7 linked regions of the Oryctolagus cuniculus genome follow. The protein of the gene in region 3 interacts with the protein of the main gene of each other region in a pairwise test. Links are inferred from orthologs where the notes say so. Each region holds a gene or a part of one and is shown on either strand. Other genes may lie near its edges.

Region 1 (3,500 bases), on a different chromosome or scaffold from region 3:
AGTCGATTGTCGTCCCCTCTTCCTGCACGACTCGGAATCCTCAGGCAAGCCCTGAGAGGAGTCCTGGAGTGATTAAGGAGACAGAAGATGTGAAGAGAGAGAGGTGGTCAGTGTAGCTGCTGACACCCAAGGAAGGGGAGAGTGGCAGGATCAGAACAGGAAACTCCGGGAGTCGGGAACGCTGGCCGAGGACGCAGACGCCCGCTTCTACCCCCTCCCCCGGGAGGAGCGCTGGTCCTTCAAGGCAGAGTGAACAGAAACTGCGAAGTGGATTTTGGGAAATAAACCTCCTAACAGAATCGAGGAGGCGGGCCTGTGGTGGCCGAGTGCTGTAAGTTTAGTGTGACCACAGTGAACGGCACAGAGACTTCGGAACCTGAGACTTGAGGAATGCACTTCTGTGGGGCTGAGAACACCTGTGAGCTCTGCCAGGTGCAGCTGCCGCGGAGGGCGTGCGCGGAGGGCGTGCGCGTGCTCGTGAGGCTAAACAGCAGCCGGGACCAGGAGTGGCAGCCCACGCGCTTTCCTTTTCCTTCTCATTTCTAAGCTTCGGTCATATAGTAGCGATGCAAAGTGAAGTGACCGGCCTGTAAAAATGCAGGCAGAGTGGCAAGTCTGCGTCCGTTATGAGCAGCAGCCGTGCTCCTGGCCTGTGAAGCACTGTGCATGTGCGCCACGCAAACCCGCGACTCGCAGCCAGGGACGTGAGAGTGGGGGAAGGCCTGCGTGACTGCTGACGGGGAGCCTGGCGCCGCGGCCGCTGCCCGCCCCCTGAGGTCCCAGAGAACAGCTCGCCCCACCTCCGGAACCTGAGGGGGCCTGCGCGTTCCCAGGCCGTGGTGCACAGGAGGGGAGGTGGAGACGGGAATTCAGTTCCACGTCTGAAGTGGGGCGAGCGCTGGGCGCAGCGGGTGAGCGCCCCACTGCGGAGCCCTGGGTTCGATGCCCACCCTCGGCCCCTGGCCCCGCCTCTTGCTGATGTAGGCTCTGGAAGGCAGTGCTGATGGCTCAGCGGTTGCGAGACCTGGACTGAGCAGTCATTTGGGGGAATAAACAGTGAATGGGAACTCTGTCAAGTTAAAAAAAAACCCACAGCTGTAACAGTCGTGGGAGGCCATCTTTTTACTCAGATTCTTAATGACCTCTAATGACTGTATGAATGAGGCTACCATAGGAGTCTGTTAGCCCCTAGTAAGGTATATATTTGGGAAATTTTAAAGGGAGTAAGAATTACATTAGGTCCCTTCTATTTTATGTAAGATTAAAAAAAAAAAAACCTATGATTTGAAAGATAGTAAAATACTGTCTAGAATATTGTCTAAAATGTCTCACCCTTGTCCCTATTACTTGTACGTAGTGTTGTGGCAAATCGTAGTTTCTCTCTAACCTACTTGGCAGGGAAACTTTTTTTTAAAGATTTATTTATTTATTTGAAAGTCAGTGTTACACAGAGAGGAGAGGCAGAGAGAGAGGTCTTCCATTGGCTGGTTCACTCCCTAGTTGGCTGCAACAGCTGGAGCTGCGCTGATCTGAAGCCAGGAGCCAGGAGCTTCCTCCGGGTCTCCCACGCAGGGCCCAAGTCCTCGAGCCGTCACTGCTGCCTCCCAGGGCGTGCATTCTCAGGAAGCCGGAGCCAGCAGGTAACGCTGTCACCCACAGATGGAGCTCCTTGCTCCTGGCTTCGGCCTCCCCAGCAGGCAACTGGAGTGAACCAGTGGGTGGGAGATCTCTCCTTACTTCTCTCTGTCGCTCTGCCTTCCAAGTAAATGAAACTTCAAAAAAGTGATGTATCATCGACGTGAGAAGATTTTTGTTTACCTGCCACTGGCAGTGGGTACGTGAAGTTGCATCACGCTGGAAGCAGAGCAGGGCAGACACACAGAGGCAAAGCAGCACATCTCACAAGAGGCAGACGGCTTTGGTAAAGGCAGTGAAGTTGCTAATAAATTGTGTTTGACTTCTCCAAGGAAATTTTCTCTTCCAGTTATGTCTCCTTTCCTTATTTAAAGATGTGCGCTCTCTCTCTTGCTCTGTGTGGGTGTCCATCACTCTGCCTTTCAAATAAATAAACCTTAAAAAAAAAAAAAGGAAACAGATGTATATATGTTGGCAACAGCATTTCTTTCCCCTATCTACATTATACAGTGTTGCCTACACTTGTAGTTAATTCAGACTTTTTTTTTTAAGGAGGGGAGTTGTATTATACTTATTTCTCATGGATGATGCTGTTTATTTATTTATTTATTTGTTGCCATAGGACATTGAAAAAGCCTATGAAATTGTGTGTCAGGAAGGCTCTCACTTGACCCCAGATCTTGGAGAACTGGTGGTGGTTCCTCTGTACCCGAAAGAGAAGTGTACGCTGTTCAAGCCAGCCGACGAGGCGGAGAGAAGCTGCCAGGCCACTCAGAGGAGAGTGGTGCTGACCACCAGCTCTGGCGAATCTTTGATCTGGAGCAACACCGTCAGATTCGTTATTGATGTGGGTGTGGAAAGAAGGAAGGTAATTATGACCGCGTCAGCTATTAATCACGGATGGTTCCTAAGCACCAGTTCCTCGGGTCCCAGCCTTTCGTTGACTGGAAGGTGAAGGTGCAATGTGTGACCCAGAGGTGCTCGGAACGTGGGGCCACGCCTGCGGGGAAGGATTCCTGCAGCTTTCGTGAGCAGGGGGTGGTCGGAAAGAAACTAACCCAGCTGAGATGCCAGAGGGGAGAGTTGCGGGCACAGACACAGCCGCAGACGCGCAGAGGCGACGCCTCCTCGTCGCTGCCTGCCCAGGCCAGGGCCCAGCAGAGCGAATGACCTGCCTCCTGGCTGAGTGCCGTGTGCCTCTGTGTGTATCTGCTGGATGACTCTGGTGGCCCTGGAGCAAAGTGAGTAAAATCCTGCCCGAGGGAATTTACCAGAACAAGTTTCAAGTGCGCTGACTTTAATGTTAGCAAATTTTAGCTTTTAATTGACATGAGAATATTTTCATCCTAAATCTTTTTAATTTTTTTTACTACTTTTAAATAAACTACCCAAAAAAAATGAAAATAAGATATCCCAAATTCTAAAGACACTGGGACCTCGTGAGCCATGGCGTTTGAGCATTTGAGCCTCCTGAATATTGGTCTGGTTACTGCGTTCGACGTCGAGTGGATTTCCCCTCCCAGGGACCATGGGCCTCCTCAGTGTCCCCGTCGTGCTGGGACGTAGCGGTCCCAGCGACTGTGAAGGTTGCCTTGGCGACAGTGAGGGTTGGTCCTGTTGCTTCTGTCCACGGTCAGGGCGCCCAGAGCCTCACTGCCCCTCAGTCACCCTGAGTTCCCGGTGCAGTCTCTGTGTGGCTGCAATGCCCGGAGAAGCACTGGGCTTGTGAGGGGGGCGAGACCGCTGAGGTCACAGTGCATGTCAGCGAGACTTGGGAGGGACCACACCACACTGATGGTCACGCAAGCGTGCGTGGGGGGGCCCAGTGCAAGCCCAGGGCCTGTGTGAGCGTGTCGCCTGGCGGG
Region 2 (4,184 bases), on a different chromosome or scaffold from region 3:
GCCGTTGGTTCACCCCCAAATGGCCGCTACGGCCGGCGCTTCGCTGATCCAAAGCCAGGAGCCAGGTGCTTCTCCTGGTCTCCCATGGGGTGCAGGGCCCAAGCACTTGGGCCATCCTCCACTGCACTCCTGGGCCACAGCAGAGAGCTGGACTGTAAGAGAAGCAACCGGGACAGAACTGGCGCCCCAACGGGGACTAGAACCCGGTGTGCCGGCGCCGCAGGTGGAGGACTAGCCAAGTGATCCACGGCGCCGGCCGCATGTTAGGTCTTAAAGCAAAGCTTTCTTGTAAATTTGGGTGTGGGGGACTCAAAAAGGTGGTTCTGGCTGGTGTCTCAGGATCTGCTGCCTCTGGTCCGTCATTCCCTTCTTACTGCACGTAGGGTTGGGGTGTGCCACTGGCTTACGGTACAAGAAAAGGCTCCCATGAACAGCCTCTAGTGGTGAATGATTTGCCCGAAGTGAGGCCAGGGCATGGGGCATTGTGGTCTTGATGCTGTTACCTCCGTGGTATAATAAGAAAATAAACTCTGCTTTTGTCCTTGATTCCTGGCACAGAGCTCCTAAAATCCTTGGCATTTCCTCTGTGTCTTTTGTTATTCATAATGAGCCCCTTTGGAACACACCTGAGTTTCAGCTAATGAGGCAACCCTTGAAGGCTGGGGGCTGCCGCCAGAAAAACTGACCATGTGATTAAAAAGAGGAAACTCTCATCACCACCCCCCAACCCCTACCTCTAGGAAGGGGGGAGGGGCTGGAGATTTAAACAACCACGCCTGTGTAATGAAACCTCAACAGTGGGGTTCAGAGAGTTTCCTGGTGGGAGGACACGTGGACGTGCTGGGAGAGTGGCTGCCCAGGGCTGGCACGGCCACTCCACACCACCCTCAATGCCCAATACCTTCCCTGTGCATCCCGTCTATTTGGTGTTCCTGAGTTGTGCCCCTTATAAGAAAATGGTCATCATAAGTAAAGTGTTTTCTTGAGTTCTGTGAGCCATTCTTGCAAATTATTGAAGCCAAAGAAGGGGTCATGGAACTCCTGGTTTATAGCTGATCAGTCAATGGTACAAGTGGCATCTGAGGTGAAGGCAGCTTGGTGGGACTGAGCACCTAACCTCTGGGATCTGGCACTCGCTCCAGGTCGATGGTTTCAGGGCGTCCACTGGTGACAGCCCTGGGGAATCAAGTGGTGCCACAAAGCTCCTGAGTCCCTCTTTCCTCCTTTGGTCTGGGAATTCAGTTGGTATTTCTTCTTGAGCAATACAACTACAAGTAGATAATGCCCCTTCTGGAGAGAGGACGGCCTGGCAGTGGGGATGACCAATCAGGGCCTGGTGTTTGGGGTATTGTGTGTCACACTGACCCTACTTAGCCACGTGGTCACAGATGCTGCAAAACTCTTCCTACCTGCCAGATGCTTCGTTCCCACCTGTGACGCTCAGAGAGAAACCATGAGCCCTGCAGAACACCATATTGTTTTGTGATGTCACCTCTGGAATGTTCTGAGTGTTTTGGTGACCAACTTCTGCACAGGACCTATACCTGGCACCTCACATTGGTATGGCTTTTTGCTTGGGAGGGAAACAGTAGTCTTACACAAGGATGTAGATATTAGCAATCAGTGCTTCAAAGACATCAGCTATAGTATCTGTATGAATTTGTTTAATAAAATATCAGAGATTGTCCACACACATTTGCAGATGCAGATTTTCATAATGTACCTAATTGACAAGAAGCAAATAAATGAGTAGAAAGTCCTATAATTGTCAGATGAGCAATGGAGGCCCAGAGGGTGGGTTGGGCAACAGAAATTTTCCTCTTTTCTCTTTTCTACAGCACTCGAGGCCAAATTTTACAAGAAAACGAGATACCAGATCTGAAAGCCTAGAAATCCCAATCAATGTGGTTCTGCCTCAGGTAGGATTAATCACAGAAGGATGAAATCTGCCCGTTTAAGGCAGAATAACACTCCTCTTCCAAAACTCCAGCCTGATGTGGAGTAAGCTGAAGAGTCAAGGCCTCCGATTCTAGTTGTGCATTTGACCACCCACCCATTCTGTGCCTGGGGGAGGAAACATGGCCTCTGTGGGCCTTGGGTTCCTCTTCTCTCATACGAGGAGTGTGAATTAGATGACCTGGCCACCCTAACATTTCAAGTTTCTATGCTAGACTGAAAACAAAAAAAAACAAAAAACAATCAAATATTCATCCTCAAAGGGAGATCTTTGGTGCTTGGTGATGTATTAGCACTCTGGATTTCTAGGGGGACAAGTAGACCTGGGGCTTGGGGTCAAATGCTTACGAATGAGTCCATGAGGAGAAAACCTAGCACATTGACTGGATGCTAAGGTATCATTTGGAGATGTCAATAGAATTAAGCCCTGCTGTGTACCAAAGAGAGAGCATAAAGGATACGTGCATGGTTTTGTTTGTTTTGCTTGTTTGTTTTTTTAGGACAATGTGTAGGTGCAGTTCTGACAGGCTGGATTTTTTTTTTTTTTTTTTTTTTTTTTTTTTTTTTTTTTTTTTTACAGGCAGAGTGGACAGTGAGAGAGACAGAGAGAAAGGTCTTCCTTTGCCGTTGGTTCACTCTCCAATGGCCGCCGTGGCTGGCGCGCTGTGGCCAGCGCACCGCGCTGATCCGATGGCAGGAGCCAGGTGCTTCTCCTGGTCTCCTGTGGGGTGCAGGGAGCCAAGCACTTGGGCCATCCTCCACTGCACTCCCGGGCCACAGCAGAGAGCTGGCCTGGAAGAGGGGCAACCGGGACAGAATCCAGCACCCCTACCAGGACTAGAACTTGGTGTGCCGGCGCCGCGAGGCGGAGGATTAGCCTAGTGAGCTGCGGCACCAGCCAACAGGCTGGAGATTCTAAGGTCTTCTCCTGCAAGTGGCTGTTTCCTTGGTGGGGTTCTCTTGATTGGATTGTTTCTACTGCTGTTATGTCACAAAGGGCATGGCCTTGCTTCTCCCAGAGTCACTCAAGGCCCCTTTGGAAGACCATGGGCATGCAGTCAGAGGGGTTGAAATGTAGAATGGAGAGATCCAATGCAGAGGTAACTATCTGACAGCTCTGTCCAGAGTCATGTAGGAGGGTGGGTCACCAGTGGGCATTCTATGTATGTGACTGAACAATCTAGGCATGTATGTTCAGCAGGAGGCACAAATAGAGGACAAGAAAATATTCTGGATGTTTGTTTTCACATTATCCTTAAAACTCTGCAAGTAACAGACACTTTCTATCTGTTTCAGCTCATGAGACTTAGCCAGAATATAGCATTGCTGATCATTTGACAGGATGATGATAAGCTACAGGAACCTTTCTAGGTCCAATTCTTTCTGTTGTATACAGGGAATTCCATTGGACACTATTCCTTTTGATGGTCGGTGTTGCTCCTTTGATTCTTCATAGCCTGTGTAATTCAATCTTTCCATTGTTAAAGGATGGGTAGAAGATGCCAATCCAGGGTGGGGTGGAGGTGACAGTGAGGGTGGGAATAGGATTTAAATAAGTGATGGTCACATGATAGAAAGATTGGAGAGATTCTTCTATCTATATCCAGCACAACTTCCCCTATCCACTCCCAGAAACATCCTAGCAATCAAGGAGGAGAAAAGGAGGCTTGAGACTATGTCCCTGGCTTGTCCTGGGGCCACCCACTTTCTGTGCTATAGGACCTGGTACAGCTGTTGGGCAGTTGGAAGACAGGGTGGGTGTACAGTGAGGAAAATGTTCAGCAATTATCTGGGCACATGTACCCCATGTGGACAGATGTGGCCTCAGGGGTACACATGACAAAGAAGCACAACCAGGAAGCAGGTTGAAGGCACCTTCCAGGATACTGTAGACTAGTCATCTGCAGGAAGGAAGTGGGCAAACCACCACTAGTGCTGTGAGAAAGATGATGTGTTTGCTAACTCTCCCAACATGAGATGGTGCACACAATTGGAGGTAAGCATTGGCAGAGGAGAAAAGAGGGGGAGAAGTGTTGACTGAATATTGATCTATTGATCATATCATGTTTTGAGCACAAAGACACGCAAATGTAAGATTTTCTAGGTATGGGAACCAGGAATTCCTAGAGCCCTTCAGGTAATAGTAGGGTTGGAGTCAGGATCTTGAACCAGGTCAATATCCATACTCACTTGGCTGCACCAGGTCACCTCTTAGCTCTATAAGTCTT
Region 3 (4,004 bases):
ACCCACATAGCAGGACCTATAAACTGATATCTCCAAACTAGATTCAAGCACCATACCTAAGTGCCCAAACAAGGTCAAAGAATCACGTAAGGGTATATGTATACAGGAGGGGGTTATGGTGCATGGAAGTGATGGGGTAGACTGGCTTTGGCAAAACAAAAGGACTAACAGAAGCTTATTGTGATAGTTCTGGTGGGTATGGTATCTGCATTTACATGTTATATTTGACAAAACTGAAACAAATTAACCCTGAAAATTTGAGATAGAGACTCTAACCAATCTGAAGGCAAATATCTGACTCCTACACTCTCTTCCCTGTCTTTTCAGCACTTTTTCCTCCAGCCCCAGAACTTTCTGCCCTGTGGGACTTTCTGTGGTAGCTTATCAAGGTTTACTTCTGGGATCTGTCAGGTACGATGGCCTCAGAACAGTGTCAAACTCATAAGACTTAGTTTTCTTTTTTGGGTAGGTCCCCATCCTTTTGAAACTAGCTCATTGTACAAACTAATCTCTCCTAAGGTAATATTAGTTTGTAGTATACATTTTAGCTTAACAGGCCCTCTGGAAGTGTAATTACCACTACAGATAAATGACTGACTCCCCTACCACAGCAGCCAAATCACACTGTCATCTTAGGGCAAGTTGTTCAAATGGCAGTCCCATGGGCAGTTGTTTTAATTTGGGGTGGGTGCTTGGCACAGTGGTTAAGATACTGCTTGCATCCTGTATCAGAGTGCCTAGGTTCAAGTCCTGACTCCGCTTCCAATTCTAGCTCCCTGCTAATACATGACCTGAGAGGCAGCAGGTGATGGTTCTGATAGTACTTATGTACCTGCTATCCACGTGAGAGATCCAAATGGAGTTCCCAATTACCAGTATCAACCTGGCCCAGCCATATCTACTGCAGGCTTTTGGGGGACCAACATACGAAGGATCCCTCTTTGTCTCTGTCTCTAGCTCTCTGCCTTTTAAATAAATAAATTGAAAAAATTAAATAACTATTATTTATATAAATTGTGCTTTCAATAAAACATACATTATCTTATTTGGATCTTATATTAGCTAGGTCAGCTGGGAAAGAGAGACAATTATTCTTTTTGTTCAGAGAAAGAAACTGAGATTTTAAGGAAGTTATGTGCTAACATCACCCAGCACATGGCAGAGAATGGATTCGACTTCAGGATTCCAAATTCTTTTCCTCCATTCAAAGATTTTTTTCCTCCATCACTGTGCCTCCTTTGTTGCCCACTGAAAATTGTGTGAGGGGTGGGGGTGGGGGGAGCTTTATTACAGCAAAGCTGGTCCTCGGATGCTTCCCCTGGTTCATGTTCAGGGTCTCCAGCTGCCTTACTTAGGGATAACCATGAGTTGTTACCCTGTTGGAGAGATATTGGCCATACAAAATGCTGCTACAAAATTTTTCATTAATAGCTTTAGAGTACAGATAACAATTCCAAAACATGCAGTTATTTATTTCTACTAGACCCAGGCCATGACAGTTAGCTTATGAGACGCTTTGGACAAATTAAAGAACGCTGAACCTGGTGGACTTGCGAGCAGGACACATGTGGCTCTGAAAACTGATCAACGAATAGGCTGTTTCCTCCCACCCTGAGGAGTCATTTGGGAAGCACTGGAATCTCAGTAATTTGCTTCTCTGGCTATTTATCTGTACGTGTGTCGATTTACCCACCATCTTGATGTTTTAAACACCCGTCAGGTAACACTAAAGTACAATTGATAGCACAGCTGATGCACCTGTTTCTTCAGGGATTATCCACCAAGGGATAGATTAATTTTCCTCGTTAAGTAAACAAAAAAACGCGAATACTGGCTGTTCATTCCCAACAGATACTTAAAGAGTAGGGAATAAAATTCTGTACTTTGAACTGTCTAGAAAATGGAGTGACATGAATGCCCTCCAAGAAATTTTTATAGTAATCTCTTCGGTGAAAATTAAAAGGCCTTCCCACGCCTCCGTGTCGAGTATTTTCTGTGGGGGCAGAGAAAGAGGTGGGCCGGGGACCGGGTCGGGAGGATCTGCACGCGGCACCGCGTCTCCCAGCCGGAAATCAGCCTGGCGGGGACCGGGACCAGCCCTTAGCCCGCGCCCAGTCCCATCCCCGGTCGTGCCCCCGCTGTACCGCCACTCGCTCAGGCCGCACAACTTTGTAGTCGTCTTCATCCTCCGAGGCCGCCGCCGCTGCCGTCAGGGAAGTGAAGGGGTCTTCGCGTTCGTACTGGGCGACCCGCGCTCCGGTGTTGGGATTTACCGGGAGTTGGAGACTGGCGGCCGCCAGCCTGGCCTCTCGGTGTGAGGCGGCCATCACCCGCCTCCGAGGCCGGAGCGCCAGCGCTGGCCCGGGGCGGGTAAGCTGGCGCGGCCCGGGAGACCCGGCGGCTCCTCGCTTACAGCCGGCGGTTACTAGGGGCGCGGTAACTAGGGACGCTACAGGGGCTGCGAGGGATCAAAAGACTAAAAAGCTTCTCGGGCTGCCTGGGACCCGAGTCCGTCACTCAACTGGAGAATGGGAGTCAGAACTAAATCTGTTTGCTGGATTAGAAGATTGCGGACGGAAAAGGGCACCTCTTCCCCTCCGGTCACCTAAACGCAGACTTCTGACACTATCATAACACACCCGTTTTGTGAAGACAAGAGCGCATTTTTATTAACTGGAATACCAGGTTGGGAGGGGATGATGGCGGAGGAGAGTAGCATCTTATTGTGAAGTGACCTCAGAAGAATGTCAAGATTTGTATCCCAATACCAAACATGGCTGCCTCAGAGCAAGAGAAGGGGAAGGATTGACCTGAGCAGGAATCAGCCAATCAGAAGGAGGCTGCTAGGTGACTCTCGCGCGATTTTTTTGACCTGACCAATAAAAAGCCCAGGGTAGGGTGGCGCCTGGCCCGCCCACCAATGACGATACCCGTACAGAACGCGATGCTCGCTTTGGAGTCGCAGGCCTATGAGTGGCGGGGACTGAGGGCGCCAGTGTCCGACGCGCCATAGACACACCTTCATTCCACCTCACCCCCGCCACCTTCCCACTGGGCACTGGGGCGCCTCCACTGGCTCCTTCCCTTCACCACGTGGCTGCAAGAGGCCAAGCCAGAGTGTCACATGCTGCCTCAGCCCCTCCTTGGTGAGACCAAGGCCGCCGCCCCTTTCCTCGCCCTATCATTTGGATTCCTTCGCCCCTGGCCAAGTCTGCACTATTTCCCGTTCTGTTAAGGGCCTTTGTCACTCCAAAGTGTGGTCCCGCTTTCTGGCGAGTTCTAAGAAACACCGGGAGGAGCTGTCACACAAAGCAACTTATCTGGGGGCCTTCTCCGAGGCTCAATATGTTAATCCTCCGCCTGCGGCCAGGGGCGCCGGTTCTAGTTCCAGCTGCTGCTCTTCCAGTCCAGCTCTCTGCTGTGGCCTGGGAAGGCAGTGGAGGATGGCCCAGGTGCGTGCGTCCCTGCAGCCGCAAGAGAGACCCGGAAGAGGCTCCTGGCTTCGGATGGGCGCGGCTCCGGCCACTGCGGCCATTTGGGGGGTGAACCAACAGATGGAAGACCTTTCTGTCTCTACTCTAACTCTACCTCTCAAATAAATGAATAAAATCTTAAACAAAACAAAGTAACTTACCTGCAGCAAATGAGGAAACCACGAAGAATCATTTCCAAAGTCTAACTCCACAAGCAGGTAACTTTTATTTAGGGGGAAATGATTATTTAAGAGGGGAAGTTTTTATTTACTTTTTAAAAGTTTTTTAAAAATTTATTTGAAAGCCAAAGTTAGAGAGAGGAAGACAAAGACAGATCTTCGTCCGCAGGTTCAATGGCCCAAATGGCCACATTGGCTAGGGCTGCACCACGCCTAAACCAGCAATCTGGAATGCCATCTCCGTCTCCCCTGTTGTTTTTTAGGATTCATGTATTTATTTGAAAGGCAGTTAGAGAAGGAGAGATTGATCTTCCATCTGCTAGTTTACACCCCAAATGGCCATAACCGCCAA
Region 4 (3,500 bases), on a different chromosome or scaffold from region 3:
GCCAGCGGACGATGACAAAACCTCAGCTGGCCTCCTGGATCTTCTGCCGCCAGCTCCACCCTTCCCCCAGCCCGTGCTTTCTAGAACAAACATCTGAGCAGGGTGCTGCCCAGTATGAGCTTCTCAGAGGTTCTTTCCGTGGCAGATAAAGACAGCTCTGCAGAAGGCACGGGTGTGGCTGAGCAGGTTCGAGTCCCGGCTCTGCTCCCTATTCCAGCTTCCTGCTAATGCGAACAGGAGGCAGCAGGGATGGCTCCCACATGGGAGACCCAGATGCAGTTCTCCGCCCCTGGCTTCAGCCTCCCCCAGGCTTGGCTGTTGTGGGCATTTGGGGAGTGAAACAGCAGATGGCTGATCTCTCTTCCCGCAAATAAATAAAAAATCTAATTAATTTTGAAAAAGGGATCTCTGTATGACCCATCACTTCACCGCCCCATCCATCAGCTGAAGGCCCTAGAACACGTGTGTGCCTTCGTAGCCCCGTGCCTTTGCACGTGCTGTCTTGGCCCCTCCCCAGGCTGCCCTATCAAGCCTCCCAGACCCCTTCTTCCACCACTCCAGCCACACTGGTTCCTTCCCCGCTGTGCTCTGTACACACCGCCCTCCTAGCAACTGCTATCTTGTGCCACAGTTTGGAGGTCTTACGAGGGTGGGAGGGCTGTGGCTTTCATTTCTTAGCACAAGAGCTACCCAAGTCATCCCCATCCTAACCTCCCCGGGCACCCCAAGGCCTCGCTTCCCCCTGGACCTGTCCCTATGCATGGAAGGGACCCGCTGGGAACGGCCTGGGGCTCGGCATCGCTGCAGCTGGCACATCCCGTGACCCCTCTGCCCACTTCCTCTTAGCTCGAGGCAGCCCTGGGGGAGGCCAAGAAGCAGCTGCAGGACGAGATGCTGCGGCGAGTGGACGCCGAGAACCGGCTGCAGACCCTGAAGGAGGAGCTGGACTTCCAGAAGAACATCTACAGCGAGGTGGGGCTTGCGCATGGGGGTTGGAGATGCCGGGGCCAGGGGGCCGGGCCAGGCCCGAGCTGTAAGGAACGGGGGCCGATTTATGGGTTCCGTGTCCTTGTTCCCACCCCTTCCAGGAGCTGCGTGAGACCAAGCGGCGCCACGAGACCCGGCTGGTGGAGATCGACAACGGGAAGCAGCGCGAGTTTGAGAGCCGGCTGGCCGACGCGCTGCAGGAACTGCGGGCCCAGCACGAGGACCAGGTGGAGCAATACAAGAAGGAGCTGGAGAAGACCTACTCCGCCAAGGTGCCCCCCCCCACACCCCACCCCGGGATCTGAGGCCGCCCCAGCAATGCCGTCCTCAGGCCCCGCCCTCCTAAACTCCCCCCGCCCCCCCGGCCTTCCCCGCAGCTGGACAACGCCAGGCAGTCTGCTGAGCGGAACAGCAACCTGGTGGGGGCCGCGCACGAGGAGCTGCAGCAGTCCCGCATCCGCATCGACAGCCTCTCGGCCCAGCTCAGCCAGCTGCAGAAGCAGGTGCCTCTGGGGACAGCACGGATGGGGGGGGCACCCAGGGTGAGGTCTGGAGGGCGGAGGGGAGGGGAGAGATGAGCACGCCTCCAGGACTGCAGGCCGAGAGAATGAGCTGGGGCCCAGGATTTGGAAGCAAGTGTCCTGTCCGCTTTGTCTCACTGCACCTGCACGTCTAGGGCGTGTTGATTTTCCCCTCGGGAGCTCACACACCCCCGCCTCTCCCCATCTCAGCTGGCAGCCAAGGAAGCGAAGCTGCGGGACCTGGAGGACTCGCTGGCCCGGGAGCGGGACACCAGCCGGCGGCTGCTGGCGGAGAAAGAGCGGGAGATGGCCGAGATGCGGGCAAGGATGCAGCAGCAGCTGGACGAGTACCAGGAGCTGCTGGACATCAAGCTGGCCCTGGACATGGAGATCCATGCCTACCGCAAGCTCCTGGAGGGCGAGGAGGAGAGGTGGGCTGGGGAGCACCCGGGAGCTCCAGCAATAGGCCCTGGCCTGCGCCGGGCCTGCATGAGACCCCTTCCCCTAACTCTGTCTCCTCCCCTCCCCAGGCTACGCCTGTCCCCCAGTCCCACCTCGCAGCGCAGGGGCCGTGCCTCTTCGCACTCGTCCCAGACGCAGGGCGGGGGCAGCATCACCAAGAAGCGGAAGCTGGAGTCGGCCGAGAGCCGCAGCAGCTTCTCGCAGCACGCGCGCACCAGCGGGCGCGTGGCAGTGGAGGAGGTGGATGAGGAGGGCAAGTTTGTGCGGCTGCGCAACAAGTCCAATGAGGTAGCCCCGCCCCTTCCCCACCACACCCCATCCTGGGCGGGGCCTGAGGGGATACTGCAAGAGGAAGGGCGGAGGGAACCCGGGAGGACCCTTCCTTCATTCCCTCTGCGGGCAGCCAGGGCCAGTGTGTATGTCTCCCGCTCCCTGGTTCCAGTCCTGCCTGGGAAACCTGGGACAAGTTATGTCGCCTCTCGGGGGATCAGTCTGCTCATCTGTAAAATGGACATGAGTGATAGCCCCCAGGTGAAAGATGGCGCACCATGAAGTCCATGGTGGCGGCTGTTTTTTAGTAGGGGGGGGGGGCAAGGCAGTAATGGGGTAGAGGGACCAGGAGCCTCTGAGTGCCGGCAGCGGGTGAGATTAACCCAAAGAACCAGGATACACCTCCCCTTCTCCCCCTTCCCTCCCTGCCTGGCAGGACCAGTCCATGGGCAACTGGCAGATCAAGCGCCAAAACGGAGATGACCCCTTGCTGACTTACCGCTTCCCGCCCAAGTTCACCCTGAAGGCCGGGCAGGTGGTGACGGTGAGTGGCAGGGCGCTTGGCGCCCTGCGGTAGCCTGGGGCGGGGTGTGTGTGTGTGTGTGTGTGTGTGTGGAGGACGGGCCTGAGGACAGTAGCACGGAGTGAGTGCCCTTTCCCGCTTCCTTTTCTCCAGATCTGGGCTGCTGGAGCCGGGGCCACCCACAGCCCCCCTACCGACCTGGTGTGGAAGGCGCAGAACACTTGGGGCTGTGGAAACAGCCTGCGCACGGCTCTCATCAATTCCACTGGGGAAGTGAGTGTGCTGCGGGCTGGGCAGGGCTCCCCCTAGTGGCCACAGTCGGACGGTCACTTTGCCGGTCTCCTACGGGGGGTGGGGGTGGGGGTGGGGGTGGTGGTTGTGCCTCCCTGGGGTGGGAGCAAGTTCCTTAGCGCCGGCCCCACAGAGGGCAGGGTCAGCAGCAGGCCGGCTGCTGGCGGTCCCCGTGGGTAGGTGTGCCGCACGCCGCCCCCACCCCCCCGCCGGCCCCGTGTGGCCCCTCACCCTCAGGTCTGTGTCCCTGGCAGGAGGTGGCCATGCGCAAGCTGGTGCGCTCGGTGACTGTGGTGGAGGACGACGACGACGAGGATGGAGATGACCTGCTCCATCATCACCATGTGAGTGGCAGCCGCCGCTGAGGCCAAGCCTGGCCAGACCTGGGGGCAGCCCCTCACGCCCAAAAATCTTTTCATTAAAGAATGTTTTGGAACTTCACTGGC
Region 5 (3,500 bases), on a different chromosome or scaffold from region 3:
AAACTATAGATATCCAGAAATAGGGTGTCTTTCTGTTTCCATAACTAAAACACAACTGACTGCAGTTTGCTAAAAAGAAAAACAGTTTGAACTGAAATCAAATTTGCAAAATATCGCCCCATTTTTCTTTCCACAAATCAAATTTGCTGGAGAAAACTGGAAAAATTCTAGAACTGTAATGAAAACCTTTGATTCTTACTCTTTGTTTAGGAATGTGTGTGTGTGTATGTGTGTGTGTGTGTGTGTATATGCACATGTTGGAAATTCTAATTAACAAGAAGGCAGGCAGGTGCCTCCACAAGACAGCATTTTTCTGACACAGTGCCACAGTGTCTGGTGGTAGATGTGATTCTGACTCTGGGCTGTGTATGAAAATCTTCTGTGTAGGTCTCTGGTTACTCTTCCGCTCATGCTTTTCTGTTCTCTTCTTAAGGAACGCAAATTTCCCAAGTTTGTATCCAAAGAAATGGAAAACATGTACATCGAAGAGCTAAAGTCGTCCGTCAACCTGCTCATGGCCAACCTGGAGAGCATGCCTGTGTCCAAAGGCGGGGAGTTCAAACTGCAGAAGCTCAAGCGCAGCCACAACGCCTCCCTCATTGACATGGGCGAGGAGAGCGAGAACCAGCTCTCCAAGTCAGACGTCGTGCTGTCTTTCTCCTTGGAGGTAAAAAGCCCTCAACTCTTGGATGTTGCCTGGCCCAGCAAGCAGGACATGAGTGATACGGTGGTTAGCCTCTCTTCCACCTTCCACCCCAGGGGGAGTTATTAAAATAGCAGCTTGGGAAGCATAGCTCAGCTAATCAGCAAGTGAGGCCCCATCTCCAGGAGCCCACATTTTTCTAGGAAAATATACTCTTCAAAAAAATCATCTGCTAAATTTAATCTTTCATTCCTTTCTGTGGCTTACATAGTATCCAAGGATTTTTGTAAAGTAGTAAGGCAGTTTCGAAAGTTGCAGGTTTTGGCAAACTTTGTTGCAGTTGTAAGAGGGGCAATCAAACATTAACTCAAGTTTAAGTGTAACTTTTCTTTCCATCATCATTCTTGATGGCTGTGCAGTACAGAATCTCTTGTCTGAACATCAAAGCAAGAACCCGCTCTTGGGGCAGTCATTGTGGTGCAGAGTACCCTCTGCTTGGGGCCCATGCATCTCATGTCTAGAGTGCCTGGGTCAAGTCCCACCTCCACTTCCGAACCAGCTTCCTTTGAATGCACTAGGGAGGCAGAAGCTGATGGCCTAAGTACTGGGGATCCTTCCACCCACATGGAAGACCTGGTTGGAGTTCCTGGCCCTTAGCTTTGGCCTGGCCAAGCTTCAGCTATTGTAGGCATTTGGAGAGTGAACCAGTGGATGGAAGATCTCAATCTCTCATTCTGTCTTTCAAATAAAGAAAAATGAATAAATAAAAATTTTTTTCAAAAATAAAGGACACTATCAGGCTACTATTATGGCAGAATGCGCCACATGTTAATAAATTCCTCATAATTTCTCTTCATTCGTTTGTTCTTCATATATACTCTATGGGGTGATTCTGATACCTACATCAGAGTTGCCCAGTAAGTTGGTTCAGTATACAGATGCCTAGACCCTACCCAGAATTGCCCAACCAGAGTCTCTAGGTAGTAGGGATATCTATTGTTAGAACCATTTTGCAAAAATAGGTTAGCATCTTCTCAAAACGTTAAACATCAAACTGTGATATGATCCTGGAACTCTACTGCTAGCTACCTGCAGAGTAGAAATGAAAGCATTGTCCCCTGCAAAGAGTTGATTGCCAATATTTATAGCAGAGTTTGTTCTGATAGCTAAAAATTAGGACAGTCTAAATGTCCATTCACTGGTGAATGGTTAGACAATCTATGATACGTACTTACCACACACTGCAGTTCAGACAAATGGTCCCCTAGTAGACATGGGTAACCCTCAGAAATATATGCTTGTGAAAGGAGGCAGACACAAGAGACTATCTCCTGTATAATTTTGTTGATTAGAAAGGTTGTGAAGGCAAATCCACAGAAATAGGAAGTAGATTAGTGTTGCAGGGCATGAGACAGAAATGGGCATCAGGGGTCTTATTGGCAAAGATAAAAATCGCTCAAGCTGATTGATCATGATGGTCAAACAGCTTGATAAATGTGCTAAACATAGCTGACTTGTGCAACTGAACTGGGCTAGTTATGTGACATGTAAAATACATGTCTGCAAAATTGTCAGAAATATAGCCCTGAATTGTGTGCATAAGTGACCCAGATATTTACTATGTACTCCAGAATTTATGAACCACTCATAAGTTATTAAAGTTCAAAATCCACAAGGCTTTTATGCTGACCCAGGATTAGGGGAGACCAAGAGAATAGGTCACATTTCTGCACATTTAATTAGAATGGGTAAAGACTAAATTAATTTTCTGGAACATCATTAAGGATTGCTATGAATTAAGTCCAGGTAATTTGTTTTTCTGTGCTCAGTTCAGAATTGAGATACTCATGTATTCTGCAGTCAAAAAAAAAAAAAAAGGCAGTGTGCAATTAAATTTAGAGACCTTGGGGTGTGAAAAAAATCACCAGTGTAATTTCACAGAATCCTTCTCTTTTTTTAATGCTGCCAACTAAGGTACTGAGCACTTTTTCTCAGGTGTCTTTGAATTTGATTATTGCTAATTAGAGGTGACAATGTATTCTCAACTGCCTCTTGTCTTTCTGCAGAAAGGAGGGGAAATGGTTTATTGATTTTCATGTAGCTTTTAAATATGTAATGTTCTAATTCTTGATTGCTTGTTAGGTATTATATCACTGATTATCTGAAATATCGGTAGACGAGGCCCCACAATGGTCTTATGTGTGCATGATTCAGAGGACTTTGGCTTGTAAATACAAGTACGGAATGAAATGCCCTAGGGCTCCCAAATCCTGTTTAATTAAAACACTAAATTGCACATCATAGTAAAGCTGGCAGTAACACTATTACACATCTATTTGTGAATGTGTTTGGGCCTTGAGAGGGAGAGGCAAAGAGAGTGGGGAAGGTGGAGAGAGAATTGTCATCATAGCAGACTGAGATTTCAACTTGCAGGTTGGTACAAGCCATGGGAGGGTTTGGTGTGATGACAGTTGCATGGTTGGAAGGGACACCAGAGACTGGTTAACTTTGCAGCAAGGGAACTGGAGTCCAGGATCTGAGTGACAAGGCCTTGAGCAGGCGCAACTGTGATTGACAGCAACAGGATCTGTAGAATGCCTCTGTGGGCCAGGTGTTTTACTATCATTAACTCAGTGAGTCCTCACAACAGTCTTTTGAGATAACTGCAGATGTGAAAACGGTTTCAGGGGGGTTAAGAAACCTGCAGACCATTCCACAGCTATGAAGATGTACAATCAGGACTGGTGGTCAGATCTTTTACATTCCAAAAATTGTGCTATGTCCATGGCTCCTTCCATTTCTTTCCACTTCCATGGCTTTTCCTAGTGTAAAAGCTGTCAGTGAAAGGACAACCCCT
Region 6 (2,781 bases), on a different chromosome or scaffold from region 3:
GGTCAGGAGCCGGGCCTGGGACCCCACTGCCCGGCCTGGGGTGGGCCTGGGACCCCATTGTCCAGCCTGGGGTGGGCCTGGGACCCCACTGCCCCGCCTGGGGTGGGCCTGGGGGGCAGGGGCCAGGAGCCGGGCCTCGGACCCCACTGCCCCGCCTGGGGTGGGCCTGGAGGCAGGGGCCAGGAGCCGGGCCTGGGACCCCACTTCCCGGCCTGGGGTGGGCCTGGAGGCAGGGGCCAGGAGCCGGGCCTGGGACCCCACTGCCTGGCCTGGGGTGGGCCTGGGGGGCAGGGGCCAGGAGCCGGGCCTGGGACCCCACTGCCCGGCCTGGGGTGGGCCTGGAGGCAGGGGCCAGGAGCCGGGCCTGGGACCCCACTGCCTGGCCTGGGGTGGGCCTGGGACCCCATTGTCCAGCCTGGGGTGGGCCTGGGACCCCACTGCCCGGCCTGGGGTGGGCCTGGGGGGCAGGGGCCAGGAGCCGGGCCTGGGACCCCACTGCCCGGCCTGGGGTGGGCCTGGAGGCAGGGGCCAGGAGCCGGGCCTGGGACCCCACTGCCTGGCCTGGGGTGGGCCTGGGACCCCACTGTCCAGCCTGGGGTGGGCCTGGGACCAAATTGCCCGGCCTGGGGTGGGCCTTGGGGGCAGGGGCCAGGAGCCGGGCCTGGGACCCCACTGCCTGGCCTGGGGGTGGGGGCTGCAGGCCTGGGACCCCACTGCCTGGCGTGGGGGTGGGGGCTGCAGGCCTGGGACCCCACTGCCTGGCCTGGGGTGGGCCTGGGGGGCAGGGGTCAGGAGCCGGGCCTGGAACCCCACTGCCTGGCCTGGGGGTGGGGGCTGCAGGCCTGGGACCCCACTGCCTGGCGTGGGGGTGGGGGCTGCAGGCCTAGGACCCCGCTGCCCGGCCTGGGGTGGGCCTGGTGGGCAGGGGTCGAGGGCCACAGGCTGGGTGCCCCACTGCCCGGCTTGGGGTGGGCCTTGGGGGCAGGGGCCAGGAGCCGGGCCTGGGACCCCACTGCCTGGCCTGGGGGGTGGGGGCTGCAGGCCTGGGACCCCACTGCCTGGCCTGGGTGGACTTGGGGGGACAGGGGCTATGAACCAGGCATGGGACCCCGTTGCCCAGTCTGGGGGGTGGGGAATGCAGGCCTAGGACCCCGCTGCCCGGCCTGGGGTGGGCCTGGTGGGCAGGGGTCGAGGGCCACAGGCTGGTTGCCCCACTGCCTGGCTTGGGGGACGGCGGGGGCCGCAAGCCATGCTGGGGACCCTTCTGCCCGGCCCGGGGGTGGGGAACGCAGGCCTGGGGCCCGGCTGCTGGCCCGGGGGCGGGCTGACCGGCAGCCGCGTGCAGGTGGACGGGCTCCGGCACAGCCTCCTGCGGGCGGAGGAGGACTGCACGGTGGAGCGCAAGCACACGCTGCGGCTGCGGCGCGCCATGGAGCAGCGGCCGAGCCAGGAGCTGCTGTGGGAGCTGCAGCAGCAGAAGGCCCAGCTGGAGGCGCGCGTGCAGGACCTGGAGGCCGCGGCGCAGGTGGGGGCGCCGGGCGCCGGGCGGGCGGGGGCGGGTGGGCGCCGGGCGCCGGGCGGGCGGGGGCGGGCGGGGGCGGAGCCGCGCGGGACGGCCGCTCTGTGTCCAGCAGGGGACGCGGGAGCGGAGCAGCCCCTACGTCCAGGTGCTGGAGGAGGAGTGGCGGCAGGTGCTGCGTGACCACCAGGAGCAGGCCGGCACCGTCTTCTCCCTGCGCAAGGAGCTGCGCCAGGCCGAGGCCCTCCGCGCCCGGGTAGGAGGCGGGGCCCTGGGGGCCGGGCGCCCTCCCCGCGGGGCGCTGAGCGGCCGTCCCCACAGTGCGCGGAGGAGAAGGAGGTGTTGGACCTGCAGTGCCAGGCCCTGCGCAAGGACGCCCGGCTCTACAAGGAGCGCATGGAGGCCGTGCTGCAGCAGATGGAGGAGGTGGCCCTGGAGCGGGACCAGGTGTGTGGGGGCCCAGTGCCCTCCCCGCTCTCGGGGTCTCCCTCGGTGCGCCCCTCGGCCACGATGCACCCTCAGGGAGCTGCTCTAACACAGAAACCAGCACCTGGGGGGGGGGCCCTGGGGGCGGAGGAGGACTTGCACACACACACACACACACACAAAGAAGAAGAGCGGCCGGGACTCGGAGGCAGGCAGCGGCAGGGCTGGTAGGCGGGACCTCTGGCTGCCTCTGGGTGGCCCAATAGGGACAAAAATGGATCAAGTCCCGGCCGCGGGGGCGCTGATGGGCCCAGACTCTGCCCTGCCCCTGCCCGTGGCCCTGTTCCCTCTGTGTGTCGGTGTCCCACGGCTGGCCGGCCCCCAGTGGGGACAGGCGGGCGTCTCACACAGCACAGACCATCATGCTCCTTGTTTTTGAGATTTTATCTCTTTGAGAGGTAGAGAGAGAGAGAGAGGTAGAGAGGTCTTCCATCTGCTGGTTCACTGCCCAGATGGCCGCAATGGCCAGAGCTGCATTGATCCGAAGCCAGGAGCCTCCTCCAGGTCTCCCACGCGGGTGCAGGGCCCAAGGCCTTGGTCCATCCTCCACTGCTTTCCCAGGCCACATCACAGAGCTGGATCGCAAGTGGAGCAGCCGGGACAAGAACCGGCGCCCATGTGGGATGCCGCCCTGCAGGCTTTAACCGCTGCGCCACAGTGCCAGTTCTTAAGCTTTGCTTATTTGCGGGCAGTGGCAGCTCTTCCATCTGGTTCGCCCCCACTGCCTGCAACACCCGGGGCTGGGCCAGGCTGAGGCCAGCCCCAGGGGCTCCGTC
Region 7 (3,500 bases), on a different chromosome or scaffold from region 3:
GGCGGGCTGGACACTCGGCCCCACTACGTGAGAAGGGGCAGGGGTAACCAAGGGCTTCCTGAAGACAGGGCTCCCAGCTGCACCGAGGGGCTGGCCAAGGTCACACTTGTGGTTTGGGCCACACTGTGAGAGGCAGTCTAGGTGTATGGTATAACTCACCCTGGGTTGGTCGGAGGGAGTAGAGGCGGGAGTCGCGTGGAGGGTGGTTGGCCAAGGGAGTTGGGAGTTGGCGTTGACTGGACCAGGAGGGTGGTGTGATTTTCTTCCCGCCTCTTGCTCCTAGATCACACGCCGGTATGCCGAGTTCTCCTCTGCTCTTGTCAGCATCAACCAGACAATTCCCAATGAGCGGACCATGCAGCTGCTGGGACAACTACAGGTGAGGGCAGGCCTGCTGCGGGCGGCCGTGAGGAGGGGCGGGGGCCCTTGCTTCCCCTTGTCACCGCCTCCTGTCCGTGCTTGCAGGTGGAGGTGGAGAATTTTGTCCTGCGGGTGGCAGCTGAGTTCTCGTCACGGAAGGAGCAGCTGGTGTTTCTGATCAACAACTACGACATGATGCTGGGCGTGCTGATGGTAACAGACGCGGTTTCCCCACGGCGCTCTGTCAGTCCCGCGAGGGCAGAGAGTTTTGTTCAGTGTCAGCTTTTGAGTCAGGCAGAGCCTGGCCGTGTCCAGTAAGTAGAGGACTGCTGTGCCCTGACGTGGCGTTCCGCGCCTGTGTTCCCTCAGGAGCGGGCTGCAGACGACAGCAAGGAGGTGGAGAGCTTCCAGCAGCTGCTCAATGCGCGGACTCAGGTAGGAGGGGCGGGGCGTGAGGGGCCTCCGGGACACAGCTCTTAGTTCACCACATGCTGTCGTTGGTATATTAATTTTTTAAAAAAATGTTTGTTTTTGTTTGAAAGGCAGAGTTGTAGAGAGAGGTGAGATAGAGGTAGAGAGAGAGAGAGAGATCTTCCGTCTGCTGGCTCACTCCCCAGATGGCTACAGTTCCCAAGGACAGGCAGGCCAAACCTAGGAGCCAGGAGCTTCTTCCAGGTCTCCCACAAGGGTGCCAGAGGCTCAAGGACTTGGCCGTCTTCTGCTGCTTTCCCAGGCCATAGCAGGGAGTTGGATCAGAAGGGAGCAGCCAGGATTTAACTGGAGCCTGTATGGGATGGTGGCTTAACCCACCTGCCACAACACCAGCCCAATTAATTTTTAAGTGATCTGAACACCTGTGGTCCTACTGTACAAGCCAAGAACTCGCATCTTGACAAAAACCAACATCAAACTGTGAAGTCCTGCCCGGCCACTGTGCCTCTCATGCACCAGCACTGATTGACCTAAATGTTATGTTTGTCATGTTCTTGCTTTTCAGAATTTAAGTATGCCAAAACCATGATTGGTTCTGTTTTTCAGTGTTGTGAAAACAGAATCATGGGATTTTTTTCATATAGAATTTGTGTAATATTGTCACAATCCCGCATGTGGACTCTAGCTCACTCTCTGTCATTGCCATGTCACCTTACATGTGTGAACATGAATTTCCCCCGTAAGTGGGTGTTAGGATTGCTTCCAGTTGTTTGTTTCTGGGAACATTGTTTTATGAACAATCTTAGATATTGATAAGCTTTATCAAAAGTTTCTCTTGGAGACAGCGTTTGGCTTAGCAGTTAAGACAGTGGTTAAGAGGCCTCCATCCCACATTGGAGTACTGGGCTGAGTTCTCAGTTCCAGCTCTTGACGCCAGCTTCCTGCTAATGTCGCTCTCAGGAAGCAGCAGTGATGGCACAGGTAATTGGCTTCTTACCATCCACCTGAAAGACCTGAGCCAAGTTCCTGGCTCCCAGTGCTGGCCTAGCACCAGTGTTGCAGGCATTTGGGGCGTGAACCAATGAATGGAAGCTTGCTCTCCGTCTCTCTGTATCTGCCTCTCAAACTAATTACATTTTTTAAAGATTTATTTATTTGAAAGGCAGAGCAACAGAGACAGGAGGGGGGTCTTCCATCTGCTGGCTTACTTTCCAAATGACTGCAACAGCAAGGTGTGGGCCAGGCCAAAGCCAGGAGCCAGGAGCCAGGAACTCAACCCTAGTCTCCCACATAGGTGGCAGGGGTGAGGTCCTTGGGTCATCATCTGCTGCCTTCTCAGGGGTATTAGCAGGGAGCTGAATCAGAAATGGAGCATCAGGGACTGAAATTGGCACGCTGGGATGGGATGTCAGTGTCAGACGCAGCAGCGTAGCCCTCTGTGCCACAATGCTGTTCCCCTTTTTTGGTTTGTTCATTTTTAATTTTCCTCTTCTTTTTTAAAAATTTAATTATTTTTCTTTGAAAATTCTAATTAAAATTTTTTTTTTCAATTTATTTGAAGGGCAAAGAGAGAGAGGCCCAGACAGAGCTCTCCCATCTGTGAGTTCACTCCCCAGATGCCCACAGTAGCCTGGGTTGGGTCAAAGACAGGGGTGTGGAACTCAATCTGGGCTTCCCACCTGGCTGGCAGGGACCCCAGTACTGGAGCCACCACCTGCCGCCCCCCAGTCTGCGTTAGCAGGGAGGTGGAATCGGAAGTGCAGCTGGGCCTTGAACCCCAGGCGCTCCCAGTATGGGATTCGGGTGTCACAGGCCTGTCTGAAATGCTGAGCCAAACATCAACCCCAAATTCAACTTTTTATTGTGGAAAATTTCAAATAGGGTGAGCCCGAGGTACCATCACTGATCTCCCCACCAGTAACAATGTACAATTTTGTTTTGTGTGCAGCGTTACTCATTCTCTTCCCAGAACACCCTCCCCCAGTTATTCTGAATGAAATCTTACGCATCATTATCACTACAGCTGAATCTGTGTTTTATAAAACACAATACATTATCAGACTTTATAATTTTTAATTATCTCATTTTAAATAGCTAGTATGCAAATGTCTTCAGTTACCTCATGTTTTATATGGTTCAAATGAGGATTGATATAGGGTCCATACGTGTCTTTTTACAAAAGATTGGTTTATTTGAAAGGCAGAGTGATAGAGAGAGAGAGAGAGAGAGAGAGAGAGAACTGCCATCCACTGGTTCACTCTTCAAAAGGCCACCAGGGGCTGTGCTGTGGTGCAGTAGATTAATCCTCCTGTGGCGCTGGCATCCCATATGGTCGCGAATTTTAGTCTCGGCTGCTCCTCTTCTGATCCAGCTCTCTGCTGTGGCCTGGAAAGTCCTTGAAGATGGCCCCTGTACCTGCATGGGAGACCCAGAAGAAGCTCCTGGCTCCTGGCTTTGGATTAGTGCAGCTTTGGTCATTGCAGCCCTTTAGAGAGTGAACCAGCAGATGGAAGACCTTTCTCTATCTCTCCCTCTCACTGTATGTAACTCTACCTCTCAAATAAATAAATAAAAATCTTAAAAAAAAAAAAAAAAAGCCGCCAAAAGACAGGCCTGGGCCAGACTGAAGTGAGGAACCCCACCTGGATCTCCCACATGAGTTGCAGGGACTCAAATACTTGGGCCCTCCTCTGCTGCCTTCCCAGGTG

The links.
Region 1: the proteins of FAM161A (region 3) and DHX32 interact in binary tests that used the Homo sapiens proteins (3 or more experiments, as listed by UniProt). The two-hybrid records come from large-scale screens. The link is inferred for Oryctolagus cuniculus from reciprocal best matches to the Homo sapiens genes FAM161A and DHX32.
Region 2: the proteins of FAM161A (region 3) and CBY2 interact in binary tests that used the Homo sapiens proteins (3 or more experiments, as listed by UniProt). The two-hybrid records come from large-scale screens. The link is inferred for Oryctolagus cuniculus from reciprocal best matches to the Homo sapiens genes FAM161A and CBY2.
Region 4: the proteins of FAM161A (region 3) and LMNA interact in binary tests that used the Homo sapiens proteins (3 or more experiments, as listed by UniProt). The link is inferred for Oryctolagus cuniculus from reciprocal best matches to the Homo sapiens genes FAM161A and LMNA.
Region 5: the proteins of FAM161A (region 3) and CADPS interact in a two-hybrid assay, tested with the Homo sapiens proteins (2 studies listed by BioGRID). The two-hybrid records come from large-scale screens. The link is inferred for Oryctolagus cuniculus from reciprocal best matches to the Homo sapiens genes FAM161A and CADPS.
Region 6: the proteins of FAM161A (region 3) and CARD9 interact in binary tests that used the Homo sapiens proteins (3 or more experiments, as listed by UniProt). The two-hybrid records come from large-scale screens. The link is inferred for Oryctolagus cuniculus from reciprocal best matches to the Homo sapiens genes FAM161A and CARD9.
Region 7: the proteins of FAM161A (region 3) and VPS52 interact in binary tests that used the Homo sapiens proteins (3 or more experiments, as listed by UniProt). The link is inferred for Oryctolagus cuniculus from reciprocal best matches to the Homo sapiens genes FAM161A and VPS52.

The regions. Positions count from the first base shown.
Region 1 is NC_091446.1:5,808,245-5,811,744, forward strand, and holds part of DHX32 (putative pre-mRNA-splicing factor ATP-dependent RNA helicase DHX32), read left to right. Parts: intron 1-2,257; coding exon 2,258-2,503; intron 2,504-3,500.
Region 2 is NC_091440.1:64,764,219-64,768,402, forward strand, and holds the start of CBY2 (protein chibby homolog 2), read left to right. Parts: upstream 1-1,384; 5' UTR 1,385-1,485; coding exon 1,486-1,560; intron 1,561-1,838; coding exon 1,839-1,919; intron 1,920-2,927; exon of another isoform or gene 2,928-2,942; coding exon of another isoform or gene 2,943-3,056; intron 3,057-4,184.
Region 3 is NC_091433.1:140,941,939-140,945,942, reverse strand, and holds the start of FAM161A (protein FAM161A), read right to left. Parts: upstream 2,801-4,004; 5' UTR 2,328-2,800; coding exon 2,145-2,327; intron 1-2,144. UniProt on the Homo sapiens protein: Involved in ciliogenesis.
Region 4 is NC_091438.1:42,571,722-42,575,221, reverse strand, and holds part of LMNA (lamin), read left to right. Parts: intron 1-846; coding exon 847-972; intron 973-1,088; coding exon 1,089-1,259; intron 1,260-1,364; coding exon 1,365-1,490; intron 1,491-1,718; coding exon 1,719-1,939; intron 1,940-2,038; coding exon 2,039-2,258; intron 2,259-2,676; coding exon 2,677-2,784; intron 2,785-2,916; coding exon 2,917-3,036; intron 3,037-3,308; coding exon 3,309-3,398; intron 3,399-3,500.
Region 5 is NC_091441.1:87,195,785-87,199,284, forward strand, and holds part of CADPS (calcium-dependent secretion activator 1), read left to right. Parts: intron 1-433; coding exon 434-667; intron 668-3,500.
Region 6 is NC_091432.1:236,667,521-236,670,301, forward strand, and holds part of CARD9 (caspase recruitment domain-containing protein 9), read left to right. Parts: intron 1-1,345; coding exon 1,346-1,525; intron 1,526-1,631; coding exon 1,632-1,775; coding exon of another isoform or gene 1,776-1,840; coding exon 1,841-1,966; intron 1,967-2,781. UniProt on the Homo sapiens protein: Adapter protein that plays a key role in innate immune response against fungi by forming signaling complexes downstream of C-type lectin receptors.
Region 7 is NC_091436.1:135,860,366-135,863,865, forward strand, and holds part of VPS52 (vacuolar protein sorting-associated protein 52 homolog), read left to right. Parts: coding exon 1-27; intron 28-283; coding exon 284-379; intron 380-465; coding exon 466-573; intron 574-729; coding exon 730-795; intron 796-3,500. UniProt on the Homo sapiens protein: Acts as a component of the GARP complex that is involved in retrograde transport from early and late endosomes to the trans-Golgi network (TGN).